4 linked regions of the Anolis sagrei genome follow. The protein of the gene in region 1 purifies or fractionates together with the protein of each later gene. This does not show direct contact. Links are inferred from orthologs where the notes say so. Each region holds a gene or a part of one and is shown in the gene's direction. Other genes may lie near its edges.

Evidence for each region.
Region 2: the proteins of RAN (region 1) and NUP214 purify together in Homo sapiens (affinity purification with mass spectrometry; 3 studies listed by BioGRID and IntAct, counting the BioPlex papers as one, with this or other methods). This does not show direct contact. The link is inferred for Anolis sagrei from reciprocal best matches to the Homo sapiens genes RAN and NUP214.
Region 3: the proteins of RAN (region 1) and NCBP1 purify together in Homo sapiens (co-immunoprecipitation; 3 studies listed by BioGRID and IntAct, with this or other methods). This does not show direct contact. The link is inferred for Anolis sagrei from reciprocal best matches to the Homo sapiens genes RAN and NCBP1.
Region 4: the proteins of RAN (region 1) and IPO9 purify together in Homo sapiens (affinity purification with mass spectrometry; 3 studies listed by BioGRID and IntAct, with this or other methods). This does not show direct contact. The link is inferred for Anolis sagrei from reciprocal best matches to the Homo sapiens genes RAN and IPO9.

Annotation. Positions count from the first base shown.
Region 1 is NC_090034.1:37,904,088-37,911,564, reverse strand, and holds the start of RAN (GTP-binding nuclear protein Ran), read left to right. Parts: upstream 1-4,461; 5' UTR 4,462-4,586; intron 4,587-4,922; exon of another isoform or gene 4,923-5,080; intron 5,081-5,310; 5' UTR 5,311-5,317; coding exon 5,318-5,356; intron 5,357-7,477. UniProt on the Homo sapiens protein: GTPase involved in nucleocytoplasmic transport, participating both to the import and the export from the nucleus of proteins and RNAs. Switches between a cytoplasmic GDP- and a nuclear GTP-bound state by nucleotide exchange and GTP hydrolysis.
Region 2 is NC_090031.1:17,129,637-17,137,576, forward strand, and holds the start of NUP214 (nuclear pore complex protein Nup214), read left to right. Parts: upstream 1-4,923; 5' UTR 4,924-4,996; coding exon 4,997-5,038; intron 5,039-7,940. Other genes in the region: AIF1L (allograft inflammatory factor 1-like), read left to right, coding at 1,841-1,931. UniProt on the Homo sapiens protein: Part of the nuclear pore complex. Has a critical role in nucleocytoplasmic transport.
Region 3 is NC_090022.1:150,976,575-150,983,962, reverse strand, and holds the start of NCBP1 (nuclear cap-binding protein subunit 1), read left to right. Parts: upstream 1-4,374; 5' UTR 4,375-4,606; coding exon 4,607-4,640; intron 4,641-7,388. Other genes in the region: TSTD2 (thiosulfate sulfurtransferase/rhodanese-like domain-containing protein 2), read right to left, coding at 1-129. UniProt on the Homo sapiens protein: Component of the cap-binding complex (CBC), which binds cotranscriptionally to the 5'-cap of pre-mRNAs and is involved in various processes such as pre-mRNA splicing, translation regulation, nonsense-mediated mRNA decay, RNA-mediated gene silencing (RNAi) by microRNAs (miRNAs) and mRNA export.
Region 4 is NC_090024.1:206,524,190-206,531,308, forward strand, and holds the start of IPO9 (importin-9), read left to right. Parts: upstream 1-4,115; 5' UTR 4,116-4,233; coding exon 4,234-4,381; intron 4,382-7,119. UniProt on the Homo sapiens protein: Nuclear transport receptor that mediates nuclear import of proteins, such as histones, proteasome and actin. Serves as receptor for nuclear localization signals (NLS) in cargo substrates.

The DNA of each region.
Region 1 (7,477 bases):
GTCTTTGCACCCTTGGCTGAAACCAACACACAGATAGCATCAATTGATCCCATATCCAGGACAAAAGATTATCAAGGCTTGGCAGCCGCGCCAACCATTTTTGTATATTTCACCCCCACGGGACAATACCAGGCCAGCTTGAGGAATATCCGGATTATCGCTGGCCATCGGACAAACCATTAAGTTACATTTAATCCACTAATTTTTTTTCCTCTCGGTTCTTTGTTTCCTGCTTGTACTGCCTCCTCAATTCCCATTGGCTCAGAAGCCAAAGCAGCGCTGGCTTCCCTATTGGCCAAGGCACGCCTGAGCCGGCCGCGCCTCCCTCCAGCTGATGACTCCAACCAATCGGCGTGAAGCCAGCAAGGGGCACGGGAAGTTTGAATTTGACAGTTCTGTATTTCCTATAAATTGTACAGATCCTGGGATATTGGGCCTGTCTGGACTCTAAGGCCTCTTCCACACAGCCCTATTTCCCAGAATATCAAGGCAGAAAATCTCACATTATCTGAGTGTGGACTCAGATAACCCAGATCAAATCAGATATTGTGGGATTTTCTGCCTTGATATTCTGAGATATAGAGCTGTGTGGAAGGGCCCTAAGGCACCTAGATCCCTTTTGGATACACTCAAGGCAAGGAAATAGTGGTAAGGTAGCAAAAATGCTAACATTTCACAATGAAAAAGCCAGAACTCAATACTAATTCCACTTGATTTTTCTCCCCAAAAGAGAAGTGTGCACTTCCATGTAGCAGCAGATATACTAACTAGGGATTTTAATTGCAACTCAGGATTGATAGGATGTTAGTCATGAATCACCTTACTAACCAGAATGAGTTCAGATCAGCAGGGCCAGATGAACTGCATCCCAGGGCACTGAAGGAGCTTTCAATTTTACAATTTAATTGCTGAGGGCAAATACTAATTGTAGAATTGATGCCCACATAATGTGTTGATGACCATCAATTTATGTGGCTCTGAAAGGGACATTGGATAGCTTTCTTGGAGAATAATGCTCTCAACGAATGTGTATTAGTCAAGATGGCTGGCTATATGCTGCCTCCAAACAAAAGTACTTTAAGCCACGCAGCTTCTAGCTTTGTTGGTCAGAAGGCATCCTGCAGCTATTTTATCTTCCTTTTTTTCATAGACATTTGTTGTTGTAAATAAAAAGATGGAAAAAACCAGTGGAAAGCACAGGAAAATTACAAATAGAAATGTTGTTACTCCTCCCTGGTCCCCAAACCTCAGAGAATACAATACAAATCTTGTACAGAAGCAAAATACACCACTTACTAGAGAACAGCAGGAGAAAACCAAACAATTGCTCTCATAGCCTGCAGAATGGAGAACGTTTGAAATGGGCTTCTTTCTCTTTGCTAAAGTTTTTATTTCATATGAACTGTTTAAGTTGCATTTTCAATTGAAGACTTTACACTGAATTAAACCGAATGAATAGTCGTCACTGAAAAATGTGAAAAAGCTACTTCTTGGACCACAACACTCACATTCTTAAGAGATTCTGGAAATGGTTGACCTAAAAAGTAATTTTTCCAAAGTGTAGTATGTTTTACAAATTGAAGCTATGCAGTCAAAAGGCAACTTTGCTTATATCAGTGGAGCTTATGCTGAGGTAAGGACTGTAGTCATGCTGATCCTACAAAATCCATTCCTCTGCTAGCACTGGTGCCCTTGTGTTCTCTGTCTATGTAAATGCATACAGTGGGAAGACCAATCGCTAGGACCTGCTGTAAGTGTGCTTCCCCCGCTACACACACAAACACACTCCCTCGCCAGGAATAATGCCTAGAAACAACTGACCATCACATACCAATTACACATTTGTCTCATCAGAAGACTAAACTCACAAATCCTTTGTGAACTAAAAGTATTGTGATTTTTGTGTGTGTCAGGAACAACTTGAGAAACAGCAAGTCATGTCTGGTGTGAGAAAAATGGCTGTCTGCAAGGATGTTGCCCAGTGAACGCTTGGATGTTTTTCCATCCTGTGGGAGGCTTTTCTCATGTCCCCACATGGGAAGCTGGAGCTGACAGGAGCTCACCCCACTCCCTAGATTCGAATCGCCTACCTTTTGGTCAGCAGTCCTGCTGACACAAGGATTTAACTCATTGCACCACTGGGGGGCTCCTATTATGAAATAATAAATGGGTATAAATTATATAACTTGTATATCTAAGCACAAATAGCACAACAAAGAAGTGTTACAGCAGGTTGAGAGTTTGGAAGGGGCTGTAGTCAATAAATTCCTCAGGCAACTCATGCTAGCGGTCATGAAAATCCAAGCAAGTACAGGCAGTCCCCAAGTTACGAACAAGATTGTTTCTGTAGGTTTGTTCGTAAGTTAAATTTGTATGTAAATAGGAACAGGGACATTTCTTGAGTGTAACTCCAACCAAATATATAAGGTTTTTTTGGGTCACACTTCAGGGTCAATATTCCTGTGGCGTTTTGCTGCCTATGCCCCTGTTTAGAATAAAGTGTTCCCACACTTTCTATCCCTGTGATAATTGGATTTTGAGAAATGTGGCTTGTTGTAGAAACAACAACTGGGGATAAAGCTTCAGTAGAGACTCGATTTTCCAGGAGTGGATTTCCCTTCCTTGGGATAGATATCTCTCCCTTCCTGTTGTCTCGGGGCCCTTCCAGTCATAACCCAGAATATCAAGGCAGAAAATCCAACAATATCTGCTTTGAACTGGGTTATCTGAGTCCACACTGCCATATATTCAAATTAAAAGCAGATAATATGGGATTTTATTCAGCTGTGTGGAAGGAGTCTCAGCCCTATTTTTAATTAGGAGTTGTTTGTAAGCCGGATGTTTGTAACTCGGGGATTAACTGCAGTTCATTATATAGCAGACACTCGGGCTGGATCTATACTGCCACAGCAACTCAGTTTCTGAATCCAAATGATCTGCTTTGAACTGGATTCTACAAGGGCCCTTCCACACAGCCATATAATCTAGGACAGTGGTTCTCGACCTGTGGGTCCCCAGATGTTTTGGCCTTCAACTCCCAGAAATCCTAACAGCTGGTAAACTGGCTGGGATTTCTGGGAGTTGTAGGCCAAAACATCTGGAGACCCACAGGTTGAGAACCACTGATCTAGAATACCTGGTAGTCCACCAGATCTGCTTTGAACCGAGTTATTTGAGGGTCCTTTCACACAGCCCTGTATACCAGAATATCAAGGCAGAAAATCCCACAATATCTGCTTTGAACTGGGTTATCTGAGTCCACACTCAGATGTGGGATTTTCTGCCTTGGTATTCTGGGGGCCTTTCCACACAGCCCTATATCCCTGAATATCAAGGCAGAAAATCCCACATTACCTGAGTGTGGACTCTTGATAACCCAGTTCAAAGCAGGTAATGTGGGATTTTCTGCCTTAATATTCTGGGCTATAGGACCCCCAGAATCTCAAGGCAGGAAATCCCACAAAATCTGCTTTGAAGTGGGTTATCTGAGTCCACACTGCCATATATCCCAGTTCAAAGGAGATAATGTATTTTATTCAGCTGTGTGGAAGGGACCCCAGGGCCCTTCCACACAGCCCTATATCCCAGAATATCTAAGGCAAAAAATCCCACCACTGAATAAAATCCCATATTATCCGTTTTGAACTGGAATATATGGCAGTGTGGACTCTGATAACCCACTTCAAAACAGATATTGTGGGATTTTCTGCCTTGATATTCTGGGATATAGGGCTATGTGGAAGGGCCTGGGTTAGTCGTATCCACACTGCCATATATTCCAATTCAAAGCAGATATGGTAGGATTTTGGCGTGGAAGGAGCCTGAGAGCTCTTCCACAGCCATATAACCCAGGATAGCAAGGCACGAAATCCCACAATATCTGCTTTGAACTGGATTGTCTGAGTCCACACTGCCAAATAACCCAGTTCACAGCAGATATTTTGGATTTCCTGCCTTGAGATTCTGAGTTAAATGACTGGTTGGAAACGGCTTGAGTCTTCACGGCCACCAGAGAGAAAGGACGGGGGAGAGCGGCCCTTTCTTCCACCCAGGCGGAGAGCGCCTCCTTGCCTTCGGCTGGACTGCCTGCCTGCCTGCCTGTGGCCCCGTCCACACAGCAGGAGAAAATCCCCCAATCTCTGCTTTGAAGTGGGCTATGTGGCAGTGTGGACTCCAATAACCCAGTTCAAAGCAGATACTGTGGGATTCCCTGCCTTGATATTCTGGGTGAGATGGCCGAGTGGAAAAGCCCTGCGAGCGAGCGAGCGAGTGAGCGCGGCGAGAAAGAGGCGCGAAGAGCCGGGCTCTCCCTCTCCTCCTCCTCCGCCTTCCGAGGCAGCCACGTGACACGGAGCCCGCCCCTCCCCCCGCCCTGTTTGCCCGTTTGTGAGCGCGCGCGGGCCTCTGTGACGTCAGGCCTGCGTGGCCCCCGCGCGCACGCCCCGCCCCCTTTCCCCCTTCTTTTTTACGGCTATTTGAACCCTCGCGCTTCCGCCATCTTCCTCAGCCGTCCGCCCAGCTCGCGGAGGGAGACAAGAGAGAGAGCCAAGAGCGAGCGGAGTGAGAAAGAAAACCGCCCCGGGAAGGTAACTCTGGGGCAGGAGAGGCGGGAGGCCGAGGGGGAGCGAGCCGGGGAGGCCCTCGCAGGCTGCGGAGGCGCCTCAGGGCAGCGCTAGGCGGGCAGGCGAGCGGGAGAGGCGCCGGCTGAGGCCCGCCAGGAGGGTGCGTGTCTCGCTCTGGAGATTCCCGCGCGGCGGTGGCCGTTGGGGCGGCGGTTGGCGGGGGAGGGAGGGGGAGGGGCGGCCGCGCCTCAGTCTCGGTCCCCCGCGGGAAGTGCCCGCCAGGAGGAGGCGGATCTCCGCGGAGAAGCAGTCAGGCACCGGGCGGATCCCACCTGAGGGATCTGCCGGCAAACAACGTACGTGGGTGGTACTTCTCCGTCTCCCTCAGAGAGAGCTCTGCCCCAAGGCCGTCTCTTGCCTCGTTTCTGAGGCGATCACAATGGCTCGCCTTGTCCCTCCGGCGTATTGTTTGCAAGCGCTGCCTTACGCCCCTCGATTGTGCTGAGCCATTCCGGGCCCGGGGGGAGGGGGGGGGAAGAAGAGAGGCGAGGCCAGGCTAGGCGAGGCTTGTTTGGGGGGGGGGCGCCATTGGCCGCTCCGGCTGCCACTTCCTGCCTCGCGCCCCGGATGCAGAGGCCGCCACGCGCCTTTTGGGGAGCTCGGGCGAATAGGGCCTTCCTCACCGATCACGCCTCTTGCCTTCCTTCCTTCCTTCTTCCCTCCCTCCCTCGCTCCTCTTCCTCTCCAGACGCAGCATGGCCGCCCCGCAAGGAGAACCCCAAGTCCAGTTTAAGGTAAGCAGCCTCTGAGCCCTCTTTCCCCCAATAGATTCTTTACTAAAAAGAAAAGCAGTTTCCCCACCCCACAACTTTTTCCCCTGTTTGGTGGGGCGGGAGGATCCCTGTGGCGCGTGGCTTCCTTTGTTCGCCTAGGAATCCGCAGGAACCCCACGCGCACAGTTTGACATCTAATTTGTAACTCCCTTCCACACAGCTGTATAAAATCCACATTGAGTTGGATTATCTGATGTTTATTTATGTCCCACTTTTTCTCTCCATACTGAGGGTCCTTCCACACAGCCCTATATCCCAGAATATCAGGGCAGAAAATCCTATAATATCTTCTTTGAACTGGGTTATCTGAGTCCACACTCCGATACTATGGGATTTTCCGCCTTGGTATTCTGGGATTTAGGGCTGTGTGGAAGGACCCCCAGTTCAAAGCAAATATTGTGGAATTTTCTGCCTTGATCTTCTTCTGGGCTATAGGGCTATGTGGAAGGGGCTCTCAAAGCGGCTCACAACTAAAAGCACTGCAGCACAACTTCAAATATACAAGTATTAAAACCAGTATAAAACATCATTAACCACATACAAAATCACAGCAGTCCCCCCCCCCCCTTGATGATCTTTACAAACCTTTAAAAGCCTACCTGAATGAAAATGTTGGATTTTGCTATCTGAAGGACAGCAGGGAGGATGGGGCCATTCTAGTTTTCCCAGGGCAGAGAGTTCCAGAGTCTACTGCGGCAGTTTGGACTCACATAACCAAGTTCCAAGTGGATATTGTGGGTTATCAGCCTTGATAGTCTGGGGGCTCTTTCACATAGCTCTTTATCTCAGAATACCAAGGCAGAAAATCCTACAGTATCGGAGTGTGGACTCAGATAACCCAGTTCAAAGCAGATATTGTGGATTTTCTGCCTTGATCTTGATTATAGGGTTGTGTGGAAGGGCCCTGGGTTATATGGCTGTGTGGAAGAGCCCTAAATGTGTTAAGGATCCGAAGAATTTAACTTTTAGGTAACCGAAGGCAACATTGTGCTTTTGGACTTCATGGCTGTCTGGTTTGATTTTTATTGGTAGTGTGATATATATTTGTAACCCACTATGTTCTCTTCCACACAGCTGAATAAAATCCCACATTATTGGCTTTGAACTGTATTATATGGCAGTGTGGATTCATAATCCAGTTCAAAGCAGATATTGTGGAATTTTCTGCCTTGATATACATCACCATCATTTAATAACTTATTAATCACCCTCCATCCGAGAATGCTCCAGGCGATTTACAGCTAAATTACAAAAGATAAAATACATACATACAAAAATTAAAAATCAGCAGAGATCGAATGCTCTAGTAAAAAGCCAGGTCTTAAGTGTGAGAGTAAAAGGCCCTAAGTCACGCATGGCTCTCATGTAGGGCGGCATATTCTGGGTTATATTCTGGGTTATATGGCTGTGTGGAAGGGCCCTAAGCAACATGGTTTTTGTTCCTGGGCTATAAATGTCATTTCCTAATTGGTTCTATCATAAAAGCATGGGCAAAGTGCATTGAACTTCAAAATCGTTTTGGCGGGACATCCTGCTATAGCACATTTTGCTATAGTCTTTTAATGACTAGCCTATAGTCTTGGCTGATTCAGCCTAGCTTATGGCAGCCACAAAAATGACTTTCTGGAGTAGAACAACTGCTTTCAAAGTAAGGACCGCACAACTAATACGGGAAATAACACTTTCAAACCAGAAACAGAAAATGTTTCAAATTTTGTTACATTGTGTTATTTCAAACAATGAGATGGTGATTTTAAATTACAAGTTTATTAGTTTACATTATTTGTAACGTTTTTGTCCTGTTTTTCCTCCATTGAGCTGAATGTGCCACATATATGGCAGCCCTTTCTCCCCCTATTATATCCAAATATTATGTTACTCAACTCAAATTAAAGGTGTATTGAGGTTTGAAAGTAGTGGGCTTACAAACCTACCATGCTGACACTGTGAAGTTCAGTTTCATCTGAAAAGCCATTGAGTATAACTTCAAAACCCTTAGAATGAAATATAAAGAAAACTAGCAAAAAAGCTTTACAGGCAGTCTCTGAGTTACAAACATCCGACTTACAAATGCCTCCTAGT
Region 2 (7,940 bases), on another chromosome or scaffold:
ACAAGCACTCAATATGTCCAAATATGTGTTTGCAGGAAATAGACCTTGACATTTGGGAATTGTAGTCACTGGGATTCACAGTTCACCTACAGTCAAAGAACATTCTGAACCCCACGAACAACAGAATTGGGGCAAACGTCCCACACAGAACACCCATAACCAACAGAAAATACTTTAGGCCATCCACTCCAACTCCCTTCATCAGGGCAAGAAAACGTAATCAAAGCTCTCCCAACAAAGAGCCATCCAGCCATAGATATAGATAGATAGATAGATAGATAGATAGATAGATAGATAGATAGATAGATAGATAGATAAATGGATGATAGATAGATAGGGCGTTGTAGTTGCTGGGATTTATAGTTCACCTACAATCAAATAGCATGATAGAATTGAACCAACCAGGGCATACAGGACTTCCATGACCAACAGAAAACACTAGAAGGGTTTGGTGAGCATTGACCTTGAGTTTGGGAGTTGTAGTTCACCTGCATCCAGAGACTACCATGGACTCAAACAATGATGGATCTGGACCAAACTTGGCACGAATATTCCATATGCCCAAATATGAAGATAGATGGAGTTTGGGTGAAGTACACCTTGACATTTTGGAGTTGTAGTTACTGGGATTTATAGTTCACCTATAATCAAAGAGTGATCTGAATCCCACCAACGACAGAATTGGGCCAAACTTCCCACACAGAACTCCCATGACCAACAGAAAACACTCAAGGCCATCCAGTCCAACTCCCTTCACCAGGGCAAGAAAATGTAATCAAAGCCCTCCTGACAGAGCCATCCAGCTATAGATATAGATATAAAGGATTCACACACACACAAATATAGTATCATAGATTTGAAAGGGACCCCTGAAGAAGGACAATTATATGTTGTATATGTAGGCAAATCAGACACTCTCCACATCAACACTGACAAAGAAATAGCAAGAAATACTGTTTACCCACAAGTATATTAGAAACCAACACTTTCTCATTACTTTATTTTCCAGATCAACAGACTGGGCCACAGCAACGCGTGGCAGGGGACAGCTAGTGTGTGTGTGTGTTTATATATATATATATATATATATATATATATATATAGTAGAGTGCATGAATAAAAGAACTCCCAGCAATCGTCCAGATAGATAGATAGATTAGATAGAGATAGGTACGTAGGTAGATAGATAGATCAAGAGGACTGCTGGGAGTTGCAGTCCAAGAGAAGGAAAAAAGGGGAGAAAGCAAAAGGGAAAGAAAAGGGGGGAAGGAAGGGAAGAAGAAGAAGAGAAGGAAGGAAGGAGAGAAAGAGGAGAAGAGAAAGAGGAAGGTTGGCCACTGCAATGCGTGGCAGGTACATCTAATGTATATATATAGTATATAGTATATAATATATAATATATTATATGTTATATATTATATATAATATATTATATATAATATATTATATATTATATATTTGCACTGTCTAATTATGAACATGAGTTCTATACAGATATAGTTTTCCCTCGTTACTTCACGGTTCGCTTTTTGCGGACTCGCTGTTTCGCGGGTTTTTGCCTCCCAGTTTATGAATGGTTGCCGTTGCCGTTCTAATCCTGCCTCCTGGCAACGATGGAGTGTGGAAGGGGGTGTCACCCCCCCCCCTCAGGAGAGAAACAGCCAATCAAGAGAAATTGCAAAGCAAAGCAGAGATAACTAGCAAAAAAAAAGGTGTATTCATATATAGCATTCCTACTTTGCGGATTTTCACGTTTTGTGGGTAGTCCTGGAACGTAACACCCGCGATAAGTGAGGGAACACTGTATATAACTGGATGGCCGTTTGTTGTCTCCTTGCAGGGTCATGATGTTTGAAGACAAGGCCGGTGAAGGCGCTGCCCCGAAGGCCCCCGGCCCCCCTCCGAAGAGGGACATCTCTACCCTGCCGTGAACCCCCTTCCTTTGGGAAAAAGACCCCCACTTGACCCCAGACCCTTTTAGGAAGCCTGCCCTCCCTTACTAACTCTCTGCTTTAGCAAAGGAAGAAGGATCGAGAAGGGAAATTCCTGGGACCCTGGCCGGAGGGACCTCTTAGAAGTAGCCGTTTTAAATATATGCATATATATATATATATATATATATATATATGTATGTATATCATATAAATATCATATAAACATATATTATACACATATCTATCTATTTAAGCACTGTCTGTATAGCCGGCCGTGTCTCTGGAATGGGCCTGGGTTCTCTTTGCAAACAAAATGTCATCCTTTTATAAATCATTAATGACTTTAAATAATTATAATCTATATCTTCTAAATCTATATCTAGGATGGTTTTAAATGAGGTATTTTAATATTTGATAAATTGTTTTTTAATGTTTATGTATTCTATTTGAATTTGTGTCCCGGCATTGAATGTTTGCTGTATATATGCTGTGCTCCGCCCTGAGTCCCCTTCGGGGTGAGAAGGGCAGAATAGAAATGTTTTAAATAAATAAATAAATAAATAAATAAATAAATAAAGAGAATGTTTGTATGTATGTGTGTATGTATGTGGCAGCTTTCTGATTGTCTGCCACTGTGGCGTGCACGAGCGACGGACCTGGACCAAACTTGGCACACATGGGATGATGGGACTTGAAGTACCTTCACTCCCTTCCTGAGACTACTGCTTCAATGACTGATCAAGTCGTCAGGCAAGCATACATTGAATACAAAACAAAGCCTTTTTATACATATACAGAGCTGTCAGATTTGAATCTCCCGCTCCCCGCCCCTCAGCCGGCTCGGCGCTGATTGGTTGGTGCTCTACAGCTGGGAGGAGGCTTGGTCGCCTCCGGAGTGCCTTAACCAATGGGTGAGCTCATGCCGTTTCGGCCTCCTGGCCAATCAGGAGAGAGGGAGGCGGGACGAGAGGGAAACAATGAGAACTTGAGTGGATTATGGAAATATGTGATGTCCATGTGGCTGGTGAGTCCTCAGGGGCCTTCCAGCTGACCAGCTATTGTGATGAGGAGTTGGTAATCAACATTGATGTCTGGCGAGGTGGCCAGAATCCGGATTTTTCTTGAGCAGGGATATGGGGACAATGGAACAATCTTATCTGCAGTTTCGGTTGAGGGAAGATAACTGAGTAAACAGATCAGGACAAATTGTGGCTTTCTGAAGGCCCTTGATAACTTATGCCAAGTGGGCACATCTCCTCAAGCAGTCGGACTCCGAGACCCAAGATCAGTGCCCATTATGCTATAGAGCAGGAATTTAGGTGTCTTTGCCAGGAGGCAGAGACCAATCAGGCTCCTTAAAGAGTTTGTTACCCTGGCGAGACAGAGAGAAGCACCCAATCCCTGATTTTTCCCAATAAAAGGTCTCACCAAGTTGAAGGAAGTGCCACCGAGGTTTATTAGCGATTCAGCTGAAAAGGATGCAGAGCAGCAATAATTCGCCAAGCAGAGCATGTGGTTACAGAAGTAAAGGCCATTTTTATAGAAAATACAGAGTTGTGAGTTTCAAAATTCCTGCTCCCCCCTCCCGCCCAGCTCGAAGGGGATTGGCTGACGCGCAAACAGCTGGGAGGAGGCCTGGCCATCCCCCATGCATCAGGGCCAATCACAGGGCTTTTGCGGGGCACCAGAGCCTATCAGGAGGCTCCTGCTGCCTCGACGCTCCAGCGAATCAGAAGGGAGGGAGGCGGGATGAAGGGAGACAATGCATTCTGGAGTGGATTATGGAGTTTTAATGTCCTTAGGCTTATCGAGTCTGGGGATCGGCCTTCCAGAGAAGCCACTTTATTGTCCTGAAATGGGTCTGTGATAAGCATTGATGGCTTAATCCGGTTTTTCCTCTTACAATCAGATAGGGCACAAAGGGGAAACTTTTGTGAGTGTCCTTAGTGGAAAGATTTGAAAGAAAAATGGCTTGGAGGAAAAGAGGACTTTCCTAAGGTCATATTTCCCCCCATTGTTATATGATTAAAAAGTCTGCCAGACAGGAACCCTTAAGATGGCCCAACTCCGAAGTCAAAAGGATTTCCTTTACTATTGTCCATGCAAAGAATGTCCAAAGAGAAGGGTCTTTTCATGATCGCAGGTTGCTTTTCCAGAGGCAGGGCAGATTCCTTGTAGATTTCCCCCAAGGAGAGGGGAAGGGGGCAAAAGGGTCAGGGCAAGGTCAAATACATGAAGGGAAATATAGAAATACAGGAGAAGATATGAAAATATAGAAATCATAACACAAGGAGTAAACCCAACTACCTTCCCCCAGTGTCCATAGTTCATATTATTCATAGGAAGGTCCATAAAAGGAAATATATCCATGAGGAGGAAAGAGAGTCCCTTGTTCATGAGATGGGGGACCATCAGGAGCCCAGGTGTGCCTCAGATGGAAAAATTCAAATATTTTTGTGGCATGATTTTCGGTAGTTTCTGCTGTAAACATATGAAAATAGGGCATCCCACCCAGAACTTGCCACAATTTATGATGATCCACACAGTCAAAGGCTTTAGAATAGTCAATGAAGCAGAAATAGATGTTTTTCTGAAACTCCCTGCCTTTCTCCATTATCCAGCATCCGGATATTGGCAATCTGGTCTCTCGTTCCTCTGCCTTTTCTAAACCCAGCTTGAACATCTGGCAACTCTCGCTCCATGTATTGCTGGAGTCTTCCTTGCAGGATCTTGAGCATTATCTTGATACCTTGCTATCTCTAGGGTCCCACATAAAACAAAAAAAAAATGGCCTAAGGGAACCAGAAGTCGATGTTGCAGTGAGGTGTCTATAGATTTCTAACTCTTTGGTCTCCTGAGCGGGCGGGTCCGAGGAAAACGCCACGATCCGCCTCCATTTCGGCTTCTCTAGGCTTCGAAAGCGGCTTTCTCTATGGGAAAGGTAAGAGAGAGGCGGGTATGGGCCTAGAGCGCCACCGGAACCGGAAGCTTCGTCCTGGTTTCCTTTTTCCGGCCGAGGAGGTGAGGTGAGGTGAGGCGGCGACGCGGAAAGAAGGAGAGGGATGGGCGACGACATGGACGTGATTCCCGAGAGGGAAATGAAGGTGAGGCGGAGGGGAAGCGAGGCGGAAGGGCTTCCTGGGGAGAAACTTGCTTTCGCCTCAGTCGACGGGGAAGAAGAAGGGCTGGAACTGTCGCTTGCCTGTTTCCAAGACTTCGAGGCTGGATTATTATTATTATTATTATTATTATTATTATTATTATTATTATTATGTATCATTCTATATTGAGTAAACATACCAGAAATATATTATTGTATCTTTCATGCAATACTTCATAGTTATGTTATTATACATTACTATTATTATAAATTATTTGAAACACAACAAGATGAGTCATAGAATCCTAGAGTTGGAAGAGACCTCCTGGGCCATCCAGTCAACCCCATTCTGCCAAGAAGCGGGAAAATTGCATTCAAAGCACCCCTGACAGATGGCCATCCAGCCTCTGTTTAAAAGCTTCCAAAGAAGGAGCCTCCACCACACTCTGGGGCAGAGAGTTCCACTGCTGAATGGCTCTCATAGCCAGGAAGTTCTTCCTAATGTTCAGATGGAATCTCCTTTCTTGTAGTTTGAAGCCATTGTTCCGCGTCCTAGTCTCCAGGGAAGCAGAAAACAAGCTTGCTCCCTCCTCCCTAGGACTTCCTCTCACGTATTTATACATGGCTATCATATCTCCTCTCGGCCTTCTCTTCTTCAGGCTAAATATGCCCAGCTCCTTAAGCCACTCCTCATAGGGCTTGTTCTCCAGACCCTTGATCATTTTAGTCACCCTCCTCTGGACACATTCCAGCTTGTCAATATCTCTCTTGAATTGTGGTGCCCAGAATTGGACACAATATTCCAGGTGTGGTCTAATCAAAGCAGAATAGAGCATGGGGAGCATGACTTCCCTAGATCTAGACACTATGCTCCTATTGATGCAGGCCAAAATCCCATATTGGCAGAGATAGCATGCAAAAAAAAGTGTGTGGTGTCTTTACATCTCTCCACGCTTCTCCCTCACCCTAAGAACGCAATATACATCTATTTATTTTTTTTGCCGTGTCAAGAATGACTCCTGGTGTGAGAGAATTGGCCGTCTGCAAGGACGTTGCCCAGGGGACGCCTGGATGATTTGATGTTTTTATCATCCTTGTGGGAGGCTTCTCTCATGTCCCCGCATGAGGAGCTGGAGCTGATAGAGGGAACTCATCCGCCTCTCCCCGGATTTGAACCTGCGACCTTCAGTCCTGCCGGCATAAGGGTTTAACTCACTGCGCCACTGGGGGCTCCATATACATCTATGATTTCCCTAGATCTAGAGATTATGCTCCTATTGATGCAGGGCAGAATCCCATTGGCTTTTTTTGCCGCCACATCACATTGTTGGCTCATGTTTAACTTGTTGTCCACGAGGACTCCAAGATCAAGTCCACAGCAAACGAGGTCACTCTGCTGGCTGTTGTATTGGATCACACGTCGGACACTTCCCAAGTGTCTAAGACTGTGTGATGTATCGGCTAATAATGCGTGCAGATCCAAGTAGGGTGGCCTTCTGCAGCTGGCAGATAGTAATTTTGTCAGCGCTGATTGTGTTTAAGTGCAGGCCAAGGTCTTTAGGCACTGCACCCAGTGTGCCAATCGCCACTGGGACCACCTTTACTGGCTTGTGATGTTGAGAGCTGTGCTGGTGATAGTATAAACTACCAGCAGGTTCAGCCAAGCCAGAGTGGTCTCCACTGAGAAGTAGAACTAAGTACACCCAAACCATTTAAATATGGTGAAACAAATTGTAAAGAAGTTTATACTGGCTCGGTCATCACCCAGGATAATAAGGACCACAGCAAGTGCTTCTCCTGGGCACCCATCGACAAGTGGGCTGCAGGAACCAGGACCCACTTCTGAGCAATCAGGGCGTGGGCCTGAAGGGCTACTGGAACCACCTTTACTGGCTTGTGCCAGAGTCTTTACAGTTCAATCTTTAAATCTTCACATTGTGTCCCACCAGATCTTTGTCGCAGGCAGATGGTATTTCTGGTACAAATTCCAATGAATCATCTCAGCAACAGTGTTGTGCCTCTGCTTGTAGTCTGTCTGCGCGATCTTCTTACAACAACTGCGAATGTGATCTGTTGTTTCATCTGCTTCCTTGCAGAGTCTACATTTGAGATCTCTTGTTGACTTTTCAATTCTGGCTTTGATGGCATTGGTTCTAATGGCTGCCAGAATCAGGCCATCCTTTGTCTCCTTTTTCAGAGTTCCATTCGTGAGCCTCAGCCATGTTTTTTCCTTGTCAATTTGGCTCTCAGTGTTTCCCAGGAACTGTCCATGGAGAGCCTTCTTTGACCAGTTTTCTCTTCTGCTCTGAATTGTGTTTTTATGGTATTCTCTCTTTGTCTTTTGCACTTGTTGACTTCACTATTGACTTCCCTCAATGTTGGTTCTTGACTGCCTTTCACATAATCTGCCAGTGCGTGTTTCTCTTCTTCTACCGTATGTTTCACTTGCAGAAGCCCTCTCTCAAGCTCCTGATTTTCTGGGCAGGTCAAGTCTGTTGACATCACTACACGGGTGTAATGAGGAGTGGATTGTCATCAGTTTTCTTGTTTTTCTATCCAGATCGCCCAGCTCTGCTTGTGTAGTTCACAATCCCAGCAGTGTATCTAATGATGGGGATGGCCCAGGTGTTGAGAGCCTTGATCGTATTTCCGCCATTTAATTTGCTCTTCAAAACCTTTCTGACTCTTTGGATATATTATTTGCTGACCACCTTTTTCACTTGCCCATTCTTGATATTGTCCAGCTGTAGTATGCCCAGATATTTATAGGCTTCAGGCTGATTGTACTTTATGGTTTGTCCATTTGACATCTCTATGCCCTCGCTGTGAGTAATTTTCCCTTTCTTTACTGCCGCTGTGGCACATTTGTCAAGGCTGAGTTCCATACTAATGTCAGTGCTGGAGAT
Region 3 (7,388 bases), on another chromosome or scaffold:
GTGGTCTTTGGGTGAGAAAGGAGCTTGCTCTTTCAGATCGAGTTCTGCGAGTGTTAAAATGCAAAGCTCTGCAGCATCTTCTCTGTTGCACAAAGAGGAGGTCATCGCTATCTCACAGCAGCTGGGCATACAATTTTCTCTGTGACCTAAGAAAGATAATTCCAAAAGGTGGGTTTATATAAGGCGAAGAGCATGTGTGAAAGTGCTACAGAAATGAAGGATTAAAGCAGGCATGACTTTGACTGCGACCCTCCAGATTCTTTGTGCCCACAAACCCCACCAGAGAATGTGGAGTGGGAAAATGGGAACTGCAGTCCAAAAACCAAAACCTATTTACTTTCACCTATAGATAATGCCAATTTGGATGACTAATAAGCTAAAATTCAATCTAATCAATATGGATTTATCATTTACTAGCCGTCCTCTGCCACGGCTTGCTGTGATCTAGTCTGTGTATATGTGATTTTTGTGTATATATGTGTATATATTTGTGTATATGTGTGTTTGTGTATGTGTGTGTGATTTTGCACATGCATTGTAATGTATTTTTGGGGTTGTTGGTTTTTTTTTGTTTTTTTTTTTTTTTGCTTTGTAAGCCCTTCCGCTGTGTTTTTCAGTGTTTTATGAGTGATTGTCACTTGTTGGTCTGATACGTGTATTGTGTCCAAATCTGGGGTCAATTCATCCAGTGGTTTTTGAGTTATGTTAATCCCACAAACAAACACTACATTTTTATTTATATAGATTTGCAGAGGTGTTCCTCCCATTGGGAAAGATGTCAAGGTTTTAAGTTAGTGTGTTTCTTTGAAGGTAGTGTGTTTCATTTTGTGACTGGTCATTAGAAAGTAAACACAGACATAATTTGCAAGTGTGATTACCAGGGCATGCATCTGAGGAAATCTCATTTAGGAGAGTATATGAATTAATCATAATCACATTAACATTTTATCCAGCCCTGCATCACTATGGTTAGTATAACACTTTCTTAGCGGCCTTGTTTAAAATCACATCTCAATCACAAAGCTACCAAGAGACAAAGACTCAAAATCATTACTCTGTAAAAAGGTCATGAGTTCAAAGCCAGCCCAGATCGGAGTAAGCTTCCGACTTCTGTGTAGCTTGCTATCAACCTTTGCAGCCAGAAAGACAGTTGCATCTGTCAAGTACAAAATTTAAGTACCGCTTATGCGGGGAGGCTAATTTAACTAATTTACGATGCCATAAAATCTCCAGCAAGTAAGCAAAAAAGAATTAGGAAGTACTCAATCAGTGTCAAAAATGGATGGTGAAGCGACAGCTCCCCTGGTGGCCAGAATACTCTCATGAAAGCTGGAAAGTTAATTAGCCTCTGATTGTCTGTCAGCTTATATTTATTAACATTCCAGCTTTTTTTTTGATGAGGGTATTCTGGCCACCAGGGGAGCTATCGCTTCACTGTCCATTTGTGACACTGATGGAGTGTTTCCTCATTCTTTGCAGGCTTGCTGGAGATTTTTATGGTGTCGTAAATTATTAAATTACCCCCCCCCCCCCCCCCGCATACGCAGTATCTAAATTTCCTACTTGACAGATGCAATTGTCTTTTGGGCTGCAAAGGTTGACAGCAAGCTGGCTTCGAACTCATGACCTTTCGGTCAGTAGTGATCTTAATGCTGCTGACTCCCCGCCGCTGTGCCACAGTCCTGGTGCGGTAAGGCCCCAGAGTTCTTTGGCAGGGAAGTGGTAGCCCTTGCAAAATTGCAAACCCCATGGATTCCACAGCACTGAGCCAGGGCAGTTAAAGGATGCTTCTACAGTGCAGAGGAAGCTGGTGTAGGCATGCGGAACTGAATTGCTTCCCGGGCCTTGGCACTCTTGGCTGACCAGCCTCTCTTTCAGCCTCTCCTGCCTCGCAGGGTCATTGTGGGGAGGAACACTAGGAGGGGAGGGCCATTGCTAGAAGGCAGATGGGATGGAAAAGCAGCAAGCAGCCCCATGGCGGCAGCCGTGTCCCACCCCCAGAGCCAGGCCTCTTCTAGGACCCACAAAGGGATAGAAAGGGCAGGCATGGCTCAGTCCCTGCAAAACGCAGCCTTTCTTTGGCTGCTGCTCTGTTTCCTTTTACCTGGATGGGCTTTCTCCGCCTGCAGCCACCCTCTGTCCCCAGCACTGACTTCCCCTCCTCCTCCTCCTCCTCCTCCTCCTCTTCTTCCTGGCCTGGCAGCTGAATGTGCTGGCACTCTCTGCAAAGAGAAAGCATGTCTTGCTCTCTGTCTCTCTTGCAAGGCTCCTCCCTGGAAGCCTTCCCTGGAGGGACTGCTGGCAATTCAGAGAGAACCAATGGACCGAAAAGGGTGCCTCGGCTACACTGTAGAATGAGTGCGGGTTGACCCCACTTGAACTGCTCTGGCTCAATGCTATGGAATCAAGGGAGCTGTAGATGTACAATGTCTTTTGCTTTGTACATACTACAACTCCCCAATGCTGCATAGCATTGAGCTAAGGCAGTTCAAGTGGTGCCTTTTTTCATGTCAGGAGTGACTTGAGAAACTGCAAGTCACTTCTGGTGTGAGAGAATTGGCCGTCTGCAAGGACAGTAACTTCTGGTGTGAGAATTGGCTGTCTACAAGGACGTTGCCCCTGGGACGCCCAGTTTTACCATCCTGTGGGAGGCTTTTCTCATGTCCCCGCATGGGAAGCTGGGGCTGACAGACGTGAGCTCACCCTACTCTCCAGATTTGAACTGCCAACCTTTCGGTCCTCAGTCCTGCAGGCACAAGGGTTTAAACCATTGCACCACCAGGCCAAACCGTACTCATTCTAGTGTAGGCAGTGGTGGGTTGGGTCTAAAAATATTGGTTGCCAGGAGACAAAGGGGGCCTCACCCCTAAAAGTTCCGAGCCTATATAACATATGGGTCGGCCTCATAACCCAAGTCAGAATAATTTTTTCAGAGTTTTTAAAAATTATATTCTTAAATTTGTTCTTTCAAATCAGTGGTTCCCAACCTTTTTTTGGCCAGGGGCTACTTTGACCAGGGACCACTCTCCAACATTAGTACCAAAGAGGTTATGAATCAGTTTTTGCTCAATTTTAGATTCGGTTTGGTTATTTGAAGTGCTGATAAGAGAAAATTGCATTGGCTAGACCTCATCAGCTCTCGTTTCTGATACAGAACATACGCTATCCAGTAGTCACCATCAGCTCAGCTTCAGAAAACCGTATTTAATAGAGCTGATGTGGTAGTGGTAATGCTTTGCGGGTAGTCAGCCTCTCCCCTCCTGACAGCTCAGTTGCCTCAGCACTATAAGAGGGTTTTGCAAGACCAGTTTTGCAAGACCACACTGCTGTGTGGTTTCGAGGCAACTGTGTAGTAATGGTGATGCTGTGGACCATATTTTCATTCTTCTGGACCACTGGTGGTCCACGGACCACATGTTGGGAACCACTGGAAGATTACTTGCATGTGGAAAACATACTTGCACATGGAACGTATACTTGCACGTGGAAGATGTACTTGCACGTGGAAGACATACTTGCACATGAAAGGCGTATTTATATGTGGAAGGCGTACTTGCAAAGGGAAGGTGTACTTGCACATGAAAGATGTAGTTGCACATGGAAGGCGTACTTGCACGTGGAAGATGTATTTGTACGTGGAAGGCGTATTTGCACATGGAAGGCGTACTTGCACGTGGAAGACGTACTTGCACATGAAAGACGTATTTGTACGTGGAAGGCGTACTTGCACATGGAAGGCATACTTTCACGTGGAAGACGTACTTGCACATGAAAGACGTATTTGTACGTGGAAGGCGTACTTGCACATGGAAGACGTATTTGTACGTGGAAGGCGTATTTGCACATGGAAGCGTACTTGCACGTGGAAGATGTACTTGCACGTGGAAGGCGTACTTTCTTGCACGAGCGTTTTTTGGTCCCAATTTTTAGAAATAAGTATACAAATAAATAAAGATGCATCGATTTAATATTTATATTCCACATCTCCACCCTCCCTCCCCAAAAAAGGTCTCAATAGCTTCTTTGCAGGATTTGGGTTCCTTTCAGGGGGAATCAAAAGGATTGTAGTGGTGACTGCCATGAAGAAACGCACTGCTGACTTCCAAAGAACAGTTGTTGCCAGTTTGAGAACCATAAACAACAACAAAACAAACTCAGAAGCCTTGGCGCCCCACCAAATCTCTTTCCCTTCACCCTCCTTCCACAAGTTCTATTCGTTTCCACACGAGGGCATTAATTTGTCGACGATCCCTTGATCGTCCTCTGTTCTTTTTTTTCCCCTTTCTTTTGCTCCGGAAAAGCTTCCCTTTGTACGCATGCGCACTTGTCGTAGCCGGAGAGAGCAGCGCGGGGCCAGAAGGGACCGGAAGAAGCGTGCGCGCGGGCCGGAAGGGGAGCAGGCAGGCGCGCGCGCAGTTCCTCGCACACGGCTTTCAGTGGGCGTTTTTTTTTCGAAGCGTCGAAGGCCTCCTCCTCCGGCGAGCGCGCGAGAAGTGTCAGTTGCGCATGCGCCCTGGACCTCTTCTCTGTCTGTCTGTCTGTCTGCCTGGCTGCCGGCCTCTTTCCCTCCTCTCTCTCTCTCCCCGGCCGTTGAGGAAGAAGGACCATGTCGCGCAGGCGGCACAGCGACGATAACGACGGTGAGCGGGAGCGAGGGAGGAGAAAGGAGGAGAAGGGGGTGGGAGTGGGAGAGAGGGAGGCCTGGCCCTCATGGCCTGAGGAAGCTGCCTTTCTTCGATAGGGGCTCCCAACCTTTCAGGTATGGGGGGACTTCAACTCCCAGAAGCCCCAGCCGTCTTCGCCAACCGAGAGGAATCCCGGGAGTTGAAGTCCCAACTTAGCCCCTGGGAGACCAAAGGTTGGGAAGTGTGTCTGGTCTGGGGGGCCAGTATTGTCGTTCTCCATGGGCATCTTTCTGAAGAAAAAGCCTGGCCTGTAGGACCTTTGACCCGTTTATTTCACGAGAAATTAGTTCAAACGCGTTTTGGAAATGGGAACTTCAGTTGTGTCCAACCTCTCAGTACTTCTCACAGTGACTTGGAGTTGTTGTGAACAAGAAGCGTGCAAGAACGTATGCCAGCATGTAGTAGTAGTAGCAGTAGTACAGCAAGATACTGCACTTGTAAACACTTGGCAAGGAATGCAGTTATTTCTAATAGTCAACACAGATTTATCTAAAACACGTCATGCCAGACTAATCTGATCTCTTTTTTCAATAGAGTTACAAGCTGAGGTTGGTGGGGACGAGGAGCAGGGCCTTCTCAGTGGTGGCTCCTCACCTGTGGAATTCGCTCCCCAGGGAAATTAGGTCACCAACATCCCTCCCCTCATTTAGAAGGAAATTAAAAACATGGATTTGGGACCAGGCCTTTGGGTAATCTGGCAGCAGACAAAGGACTAGTGACGACAACTGATGGACTTGACAGTGTGGAATTGAATTTATGAACTCTGAGTTGGCAAACGTTGAGCATTAGATTGGTTTTATAGATTTATTTATTTATTTATTTGCTTTATTTCTATACCGCGTTTTTCAGCCTAATTAGGCGACTCAATGCGGTTTACACAATGCAGGTTATCACAACAATAAACAGTTAAAAACACATCATACACAACAACAAAATCAACAATTATTATCAATTCATGACGCCTCGATAACAGAGCAAAATCCATTCTCATAATCCTTGTGCCATTTCTATGTTCAATTTTACCGTCTTCCTGTGTTCAGTTGCACTGTTTAGCCAAACGCTTGCTCGTAAAGCCAAGTCTTAACCTTCTTCCGAAACGCCAGCAACGAAGGAGCCTGTCTGATGTCTATAGGTAGGGCATTCCATAGCCGAGGGGCCACCACCGAGAAGGCCCTGTCCCTCGTCCCCGCCAACCGTGCCTGTGACGCAGGCGGGACCAGAGCAGGGCCTCCCCGGACGATCTTAATGTGTGATTTTGATGTGTGATGTATAATGGACTGTTTTAATTACTGTTTACATATGTTTATTTTTACCTTGTTGTGCCGGCATCGAATTGTGCCTTTTGTAAGCCGCCCTGAGTCCCCCCTCGGGGGGTTGAGAAGGGCGGGGTAGAAGTGCAATAAATAAATAAATAAATAAAGCTGGATAGACACAGGGAACACTATTGGTGTAGCGTACCTGGATTTCAGTAAGGCCTTCGACAAGGTCCAATATAACCCTCTGGCAAACAGACTAGTTAAATGTGGGCTAGGCAAAACTACAGTTAGGTGGATCTGTAATTGGTTAGGTGAAAGAATCCAGAGGGTGCTCACCAATAATAATAATAATAATAATAATCTTTTTTTATACCCTGCCACCATCTTCCCAACGGGGATTTGGGGCGGCTTACATGAGGCCAGGCCCAACAGTGCATTACAATAAAATAAAAACAAAGCACATAACAGACAACACAATAAGCTTAATAAAACATAAGAATACAATAAACAATATAAAATACAATGAAAAATCATTCGCAATCACAGTGACAATGAGCAGGCCACATTTACAGATAAAATACTAAAAGCTCAGCATGAGATAGGAGTGGAGCAGATTATTTGTGAGGGAGAAGTTGTAAAAACAGGCCTTCAAATAGACAGGGGGAAGTGTGCTATAGGCACAAACATTGAGTGGGAGCAACAGTGTGTAGTTGTATGGTTACTCTCCAAAAGCACAACGGAAAAGCCAGGTTTTGAGATTCTTCTTGAAGGTTGCTAAGGTGGGTGCTTGCCTAAGCTCACTGGGCAATGAGTTCCAGAGTCGAGGAACCACAGAGGAGAAGGCTCTCTCCACTGCTTCCTCTTCATCTTGGAAAGAAGTGACGAGAGGAATGCCATAAGCAAGATCCCGTCCTGGTCCCAGGCCTGTTCAACATCTTTATTAATGACTTAGATGAAGGGTCAGAAGTCATGATCGTGACGTTTGCAGGTGACACCAAATTGGGAGGGATAGCTAGCCATTACTCCAGAAGACAGGAGCAGAATTCAAAACGATCTGAACAGGTTAGAGAGATGGGCCAAAACTAGCAAAATGAAGTTCAACAGGGACATATGCAAGATACTCCATTTAGGCAGAAAAAATGAAATGCAAAGATACAACATGGGGGACACCTGGCTCGACAACAGTACATATGAAAAAGATCTTGGAGTCCTGGTGAACAATAAGTTAAACATGAGCCAACAGTGTGATGTGGCAGCTAAAAAAGCCAATGAGATCTTAGCCTGCATAAATAGGAGTATAGTGTCTAGGTCCAGGGAAGTCATGCTACCCCTCTATTCTGCCTTGTTCAGACCACACCTGGAGTATTGTGACAATTCTGGGCACTGCAATTGAAGGGAGATATTAACAAGCTGGAATGTTTTCAGAGGAGGGTGACTAAAACGATCA
Region 4 (7,119 bases), on another chromosome or scaffold:
TCCTAAGTTGTGATGCATGGCAGTATTTCATTTGTTCCTGATGTTTTCTAGCAAGATGGGCCAAGAACCACAATGATGTAAGGCTAGGATTGCAGGCTACTAGCTATTCCTTTGATGCCTTCCAGCTCCTCTAGAAGATCCCTTATCTATATAAATAAAAATGTAATGTTCATTTGTGGGATTAACATAACTCAAAAACCACTAGACAGATTGACATCAAATTTGGACACAATACACCTATCAGGCCAACGAGTGACCATAACTCATAAAAACACTGAAAAACACAGCAGAAGGGACTTAAAAAGCAAAAAAACCCCACCCAAAATACTTTACAACGCATGCGCAAAACCACATATATACACAAACACACATATACACAAATATATACACACACATATACGCATATATACACACACACAGCACATATACACAGACTGGGCCACAGCAATGCGTGGCAGGAGATGGCTAGTCTTTACATAAAGAGGCAAGAGGAGGAGAAGATGAAGCAGCAGGCCATTCTCAGGACACCCTTGTAGAACAGAAGATGGTGGTAGTGATATGCAAAGGTGATAGGAGTGGGAAGAGAAATGTGGTGATAGCAGCACTTGCAAAAAGAGAAGCTGGAAGCTGAATTCTTCCTTTCAGGGACTGACGCTAACCCAATTTTAAGGACTCCTTGGAGTCAAGGTATTTTGGAAGAGGTAACTAGGAAAATTGCTAAGGCTCAGTGATTTTTTTCAAGCTCATAACTACATTCTATGGAATCTATGAATCTAGAGTGGCATGACAGGTCTCTGGCACAGATTTCCAAATCCCAGCATAAAAAGGAAGAAAGGAGGGAGAGAAAAGAAAAGAAATGTGGCAGCATATTTAGGACTAACTATGAGCTTTCATGGATATAAAAGCATTTTTCAGATGTAGCATAATGATATAAAGAACTCAAGTAGAAAGCATATTTATACAGTTGTGAAATGAGATAAAATGCAATAGGACCTAGAAAATCCCAATATTTTCCTTTGCCCCTTATGTCACAGGGCTTGACAAGGTGACACAGGTTTTTCTGATCTTAGTGATTTATAGTGGTCAGCTAGTGTTAGTGTGACAGTAATACCTCTCCTTACCAAAAGTTTGTTTCCCTGGGCTCAAAATCATCTCTTGAGACAATTTCTAGATATGTAGTACTGAGAAATCTTGTATTAATATATGTAATGTGCCATGAAGCCATTGTACTTCTTAATACCTCTTCTAAAGAATTTGAATTTGAATTTGTGAATATGGTCTATAGCAATTAATAGCATTCAGAACACCCTATCTATTGTTTACTGCTAACCAGTCTAACACAACTGCTTAGACCCACAAAATAGGGAATCTACAGCCCATTATGAATTTATCCTTTTCACAAGCTCTGGGAGACTGGCATTTATTGCCTTTCAATCTCAAAATTGTAAGCAGCTACTGTACTCACCACAGGATACATACTATGGATGGTAATACAGGAGGAACAAGACCCTGCCACAAACCTAGATGCCAACTTTGTCTCCACGTCTACTCGGGGAGCAACATTACAGGGTCCAGTAACATCATTCACAACAAAAACAACAATGCATGTGCAAAACCACATATATACACAAACACACATATATTCACATATTCACAAATACACACACATATATACAAACACAAATACACAGACTGGGCCACAGCAACGTGTGGCAGAGGACAGCTAGTATAGAATATACAGTTTTCTGATTCAAATTTCCCGTGCCCGCCAGGCCGCTCCCCGGATTCAAACCTGCAACCTTTTGGTTAGCAATTTCAGCAGTTCAGTGGTTTAACCCACTGCACCACTGGGGGCTCCTAATTGTATTATTATTATTATTATTATTATTATTATTATTATTATTGTGGGATCACAAGCCGGAAAAAGTTACAGAGAATGAACACGCCAAACTCCTCTTGGACTTCCAAATTCAGACAGAGTTTTGGAGCATAATATTCCTGACCTCACAGTCGTGTTAAAAAACAAAGTATGGATCATCGATGTCGCAATCCCAGGGGACAGCAGGATTGAAGAGAAACAACTGGAAAAGCTGACACAATATGAGGATTTAAAGATCAAACTGCAAAAACTCTGGCACAAGCCAGTCAAGGTGGTCCCAGTGGTGATCCGCACACTGGGTGCAGTGCCTAAAGACCTTGGCCTGCACTTAAACACAATCGGTGCTGACAAAATTATCATCTGCCAGCTGCAGAAGGCCACTTTACTGGGATCTGCACGCATTATTCGCTGACACATAACATAGTCCTAGGCACTTGGGAAGTGTCCGACGTGTGATCCAATACAATAGTCTGCTGTGGACTCATCTTATGTTTCAAATAATAATAATAGTAATAATAATAATAATAATAACACAGTCCTAGACGCTTGGGAAGTGTTCAACTTGTGATTTTGTGATACGGAATCCAGCATATAGATCTCGTATGCTGTGACATACTGTGCTTTTATGCCAGTAAAATAATATTAATGTGCATACTGTTTATTATGTACATAATAGTGCCTAGTGATATTCCAGATAAACACATAATTGAACTATTCGTCCCGATGGATTTCACCAATGAAGGAATATATACAGAATATTGAGACTCGAGATGTGCAAGAATGGATGCATTCTCATTATTATCAAAACTGTCCCATTCTTTTAAGACGCAAGAATGGGAGAGCGAAATGGAAAAAGAAAATGAAGGAAGACTGCCTTTTCTAGATGTCCTAGTCATCCGCAAACCAGATCAACAATTGGGTCACACCGTTTACAGAAAACCCACACACACAGATAGATATCTCTACATAAAAACTCCAACCATCACCCAAGTCAAAAAAGAAGCACCATTAAAGCCTTGGCAGACCGTGCAAAAAGAATCTGCGAACCCCACCTCCTCCAAGATGAACTGAACCCCCTCAACTGGGCTCTCCAGGCCAATGGATACTCCACCTCAGACATCAGAAGAGCTGCAAGACCAAGAACAAGCCATGAGAAAAAAGATGAAGATCCACCCAGAGAAAAAGTGTTATTGGGAACCACTGACCGCATAAGGAAGCTGATGAGGAAACACAACATACAAACTATCTACAGACCCACCAAGAAAATCCAACAAATGCTACGTTCAGCAAAGGACAAGAGGGATCCTCTCACCTCTGCAGGAGTCTACCGTGTACCATGCAGCTGTGAACAAGTTTACATAGGGACCACCAAACGCAGCGCCCAGACACGAATCAAGGAACATGAAAGGCACTGCAGATTATTTCAACCAGAGAATTCAGCCATAGCAGAGCACCTGATGAACCAACCTGGACACAGCATTTTATTTGAGAACACAGAAATGCTGGACCACTCCAACAACCACCATGTCAGACTACACAGAGAAGCCATTGAAATACACAAGCATGTGGACAATTTCAACAGAAAGGAGAAAACCATGAAAATGAACAAAATCTGGCTACCAATATTAAAAAAAACTCTAAAATTGCAACAGCACAACAACAGGAAGGAAGCAGGCAGGGACATCTAATTACCTCTCAACAAAAGTTTGCCCCAGGCGCAGTCAGGCCATTGAATGTTAATCAAGGTGGTCAGTTGAAACATTCACACCTAGCTCCAGCAGAGAAGAGCCCTTTGTCTCACCCTGGTCATTCCACAGATATATAAACCCTTTTGCCTAGTCCCAACAGACCTCACTACCTCTGAGGATGCTTGCCAAAGTGCAGGCGAAACGTCAGGAGAGAATGCCTCTAGACCAGTGGTTCTCAACCTGGGGTCCCCAGATGTTTTTGGCCTACAACTCCCAGAAATCCTAACAGCTAGTAAACTAGCTACGATTTCTGGGAGTTGTAGCCCAAAAACATCTGGGGACCCCAGGTAGAGAACCACTGCTCTAGACCATGGCTTACAGCCCGAAAAAACCTACAACAAACCAGAGCGAAAGGCGCTGCCCTGCTTGCAGTTCCTCCGCCGACCGCGGGGGTCGCTGTGGGAGAAGCGCGCCTGTCGGGAGCCTGGGCAGGGGAAGCGCTGTGCGTGCGTGCGTGCGAGCGAGCGGCGTCGTCGCGCGGCTGCGTTTGGCGCGCGGTGGCGGCATCCGCAGCAGCAGCAGCAGCAGCAGCGTCCGCGGCCCTTTTCTCTCCCCTCAGTCCTTCCTCCTTCCTTCCTTCCGGGAAGTCTCTTTCTTCCTGCCGGGATGTCGGTGGTGGGGCCCGGAGGCCTGGGGCCTGTGGCTCAGGGGCTGAAGGAGGCGCTGGTGGAGACTCTGAATGGCATCCTGTGCCCGGTGCAGGGGGTGCGCGCCGCAGCCGAGGAGCAAGTGAAGGTGCTGGAAGTGACAGAAGGTAAGAGGGAGCGAGCGAGTGAGGGGCCTGGGCCTCCTCTGGGTGCATCCACACGGTAGATTTAGCGCGGGTTGGCACCACTTGAACTGGCAGGGCTCAATGCTATGGAATCCTGGGGTTTGTAGTTTGATGAGGCGCCGCATGGCATGGCGCCTCATCAAACTACAAACCCCAGGATTCCATAGCATTGAGCCCTGCCAGTTCAAGTGGTGCCAACCCGCGCTAAATCTACCGTGTGGATGCACCTATAGTGAACCTGAAATAGGCCAGTGATGCTGATGACAGTGTGTGAACATCATCATACTTATTTCTTACCTTCCTCTCTCCAAGAACAGACTATAAGCCTGAGGGCAGGGCATGGGTTCATTATTCATTCCCTCACAAAGTATCATGTACAGCAATGGTGCTGTTTAAATACATGATGATAATAATAATAATAATGTATGTACAGACTTAGTTTGTGCTTCACTATACAGTCAACCCTCCTCATTTCTTGTTCAGACTTTTGCGGATTTGATTTAAAATGCCATTTAGGAGTTTCTTCCTCCAGTCCTGTTGACAGGACCTAGAGATTTCTAGAGTAAACACCTCTCTGGGGATAGAGGCCCTGCGATGCAGTTCTGAAGTTAGTTTCAACTGGAATTTGATCATAAATTCAACCAGGCCTTTCCTCCAACACACTCTGGAGCTGAGAGTTCCACTGCTGACTGTGGGAGCTGTTCAGCAGTGGAACTCTCTGCCTCAGAGTGTGGTGGAGGCTCCTTCTTTGGAAGCTTTTAAACAGAGGCTGGATAACCATCTGTTGGCGGTGCTTTGAACACAATTTTCCTGCTTCTTGGCAGGGGGTTGGACTGGATGGCCCATGAGGTCTCTTCCAACTGTATGATTCTATCAACAATAGGCAACTGTATATTGTGGGAATGCTGCTTTAGACCAGCAGTATTTTAACACGGTCTATTTATTATTTACCTCATTTCTACCCCGCCTTTTTCGACCCAAGAAGGGACACAAGGCAGCTTTCATATCTGGCAAAAATTTAATGCTGCACAGGTAAACAATAAAACACATCTCATAAAAATATAACACATCTCATAAAAATAAAGCATCATTCTCAACCTGTGGGTCCCTAAGTATTTTGGCCTACAACTCTCAGAAATCCCAGTCAGTTTACCAGCTGTTAGGATTTCTGGGAGTTGAAGGCCAAAACATCTGGAGACCCATAGGTTGAGCACCACTGACCTAAAGAAAAATTGAGTTTTTAGGAGCCTAACGTAACTGTTTTAATGGATAATCTTAATGGCCTGAGGTTCAGGAAAAATTTTTAATGGTATAATGTTTTGATTTATTAATTTGTTAAATTTGTTTTGTGTAGTGTGTATTTTTGTTTACTATGCTGTATTTTATGTTATGTAATTTTGTTGCTTTTAACTATTGTACTCCGCTTTGAATCACACCCATGGGAGAAAAGCAGGATAATAATAATAATTCTGGAAAACCAAAATTCCTATAGATAATAGTAATAACTTATTATTTGTATCCCACTTTTCTCCCACAAAGGGACCCTTAGTGGCTTACAACATGTTAAAAGCAATACAAGTCCAAAACTATCAGCATATATAACACATAAAACCATCTATAAAATAAAACATAAATAAGCATTTAGAACCAAATACATTTCTGTAAAGTCTCCAAATATGTATTCCAGACACATTATGGAATCCTGGGTTTTTTAGATGTTTACTTGTTTTAACAACTGCAATTTTTTTTAATCTGCAGTTCTCCTGTGTCCCTGACCCCTGCAAAAGGGGAGAGCTTACTCCATATGGAACCAAAAATCTTCTTAGTATCACCATTAGTTATGGTGTGTGTTATCCTGTGAAAATTCTATAGTAGATTTCCCCCATCAAAGTGCATGTATGTATGTATATATATATATATAGGGAGGGAAAGAGAGGAATGGTTCTGTTTGAAGGTTTTGAAATAGCAGATTTTAATTAGCAAATGCAATTTCAGTCTTTTCCTCTTCTTGGTCCAAAGCATTTATTATAAATGACCAATGAGGAGAGAGCAGAAACTTCTTGAAATAGCAAGCAGCATTGTGTGGGTGGTCAGGATTGCTGCTGGGCCGTCATGATGCAAAAATGTCATAAATGCAGGTGGAGCTGCATTTTTAAAAGACAAAGCCACAGCCATTATCAGAAGCAGGTCATGGCCAATTTAGTACTTTTGTGATACTGTGATTTGTTTCAAAAGTTTGCCCCAATATTTCTTTCTGCATATACTTTGCTTCTGAAAATGACACACAGATCTTGCGTTTTATAGTTTTATGCTGTTAGTTCAAGGAAATCTTTTTTCAGGCCATCAGTTTAATACATCTTGCAGTTGATACAACCTCTCAGTCTAATCTAATGCAACATAATTGAAGATACCTGTAGAATGCAAAGGTGGATGTTATTGTTGAGTTGGGGGGGGGGGGGGAGAGGCAGAAGAGGTAATCTTACCAGTTATATGAACCCATAACAGGGAAAAACATTATTTACCTAATTTTGAAAATGCCCATATGTATTATAAAAGAATGAAGTAGTTGCTTGTTTTCAGTTTTATTTTATTGTAATTTTCTGTTTGGGCTTGGCGTCGTGTAAGCTGCTCCAAGTCCCCATTGGAGAGATAGTGGTGGAATATAAATAAAGTTGTTGTTGTTATTATTATTGTTATTATTATTATTATTATTGACGCCT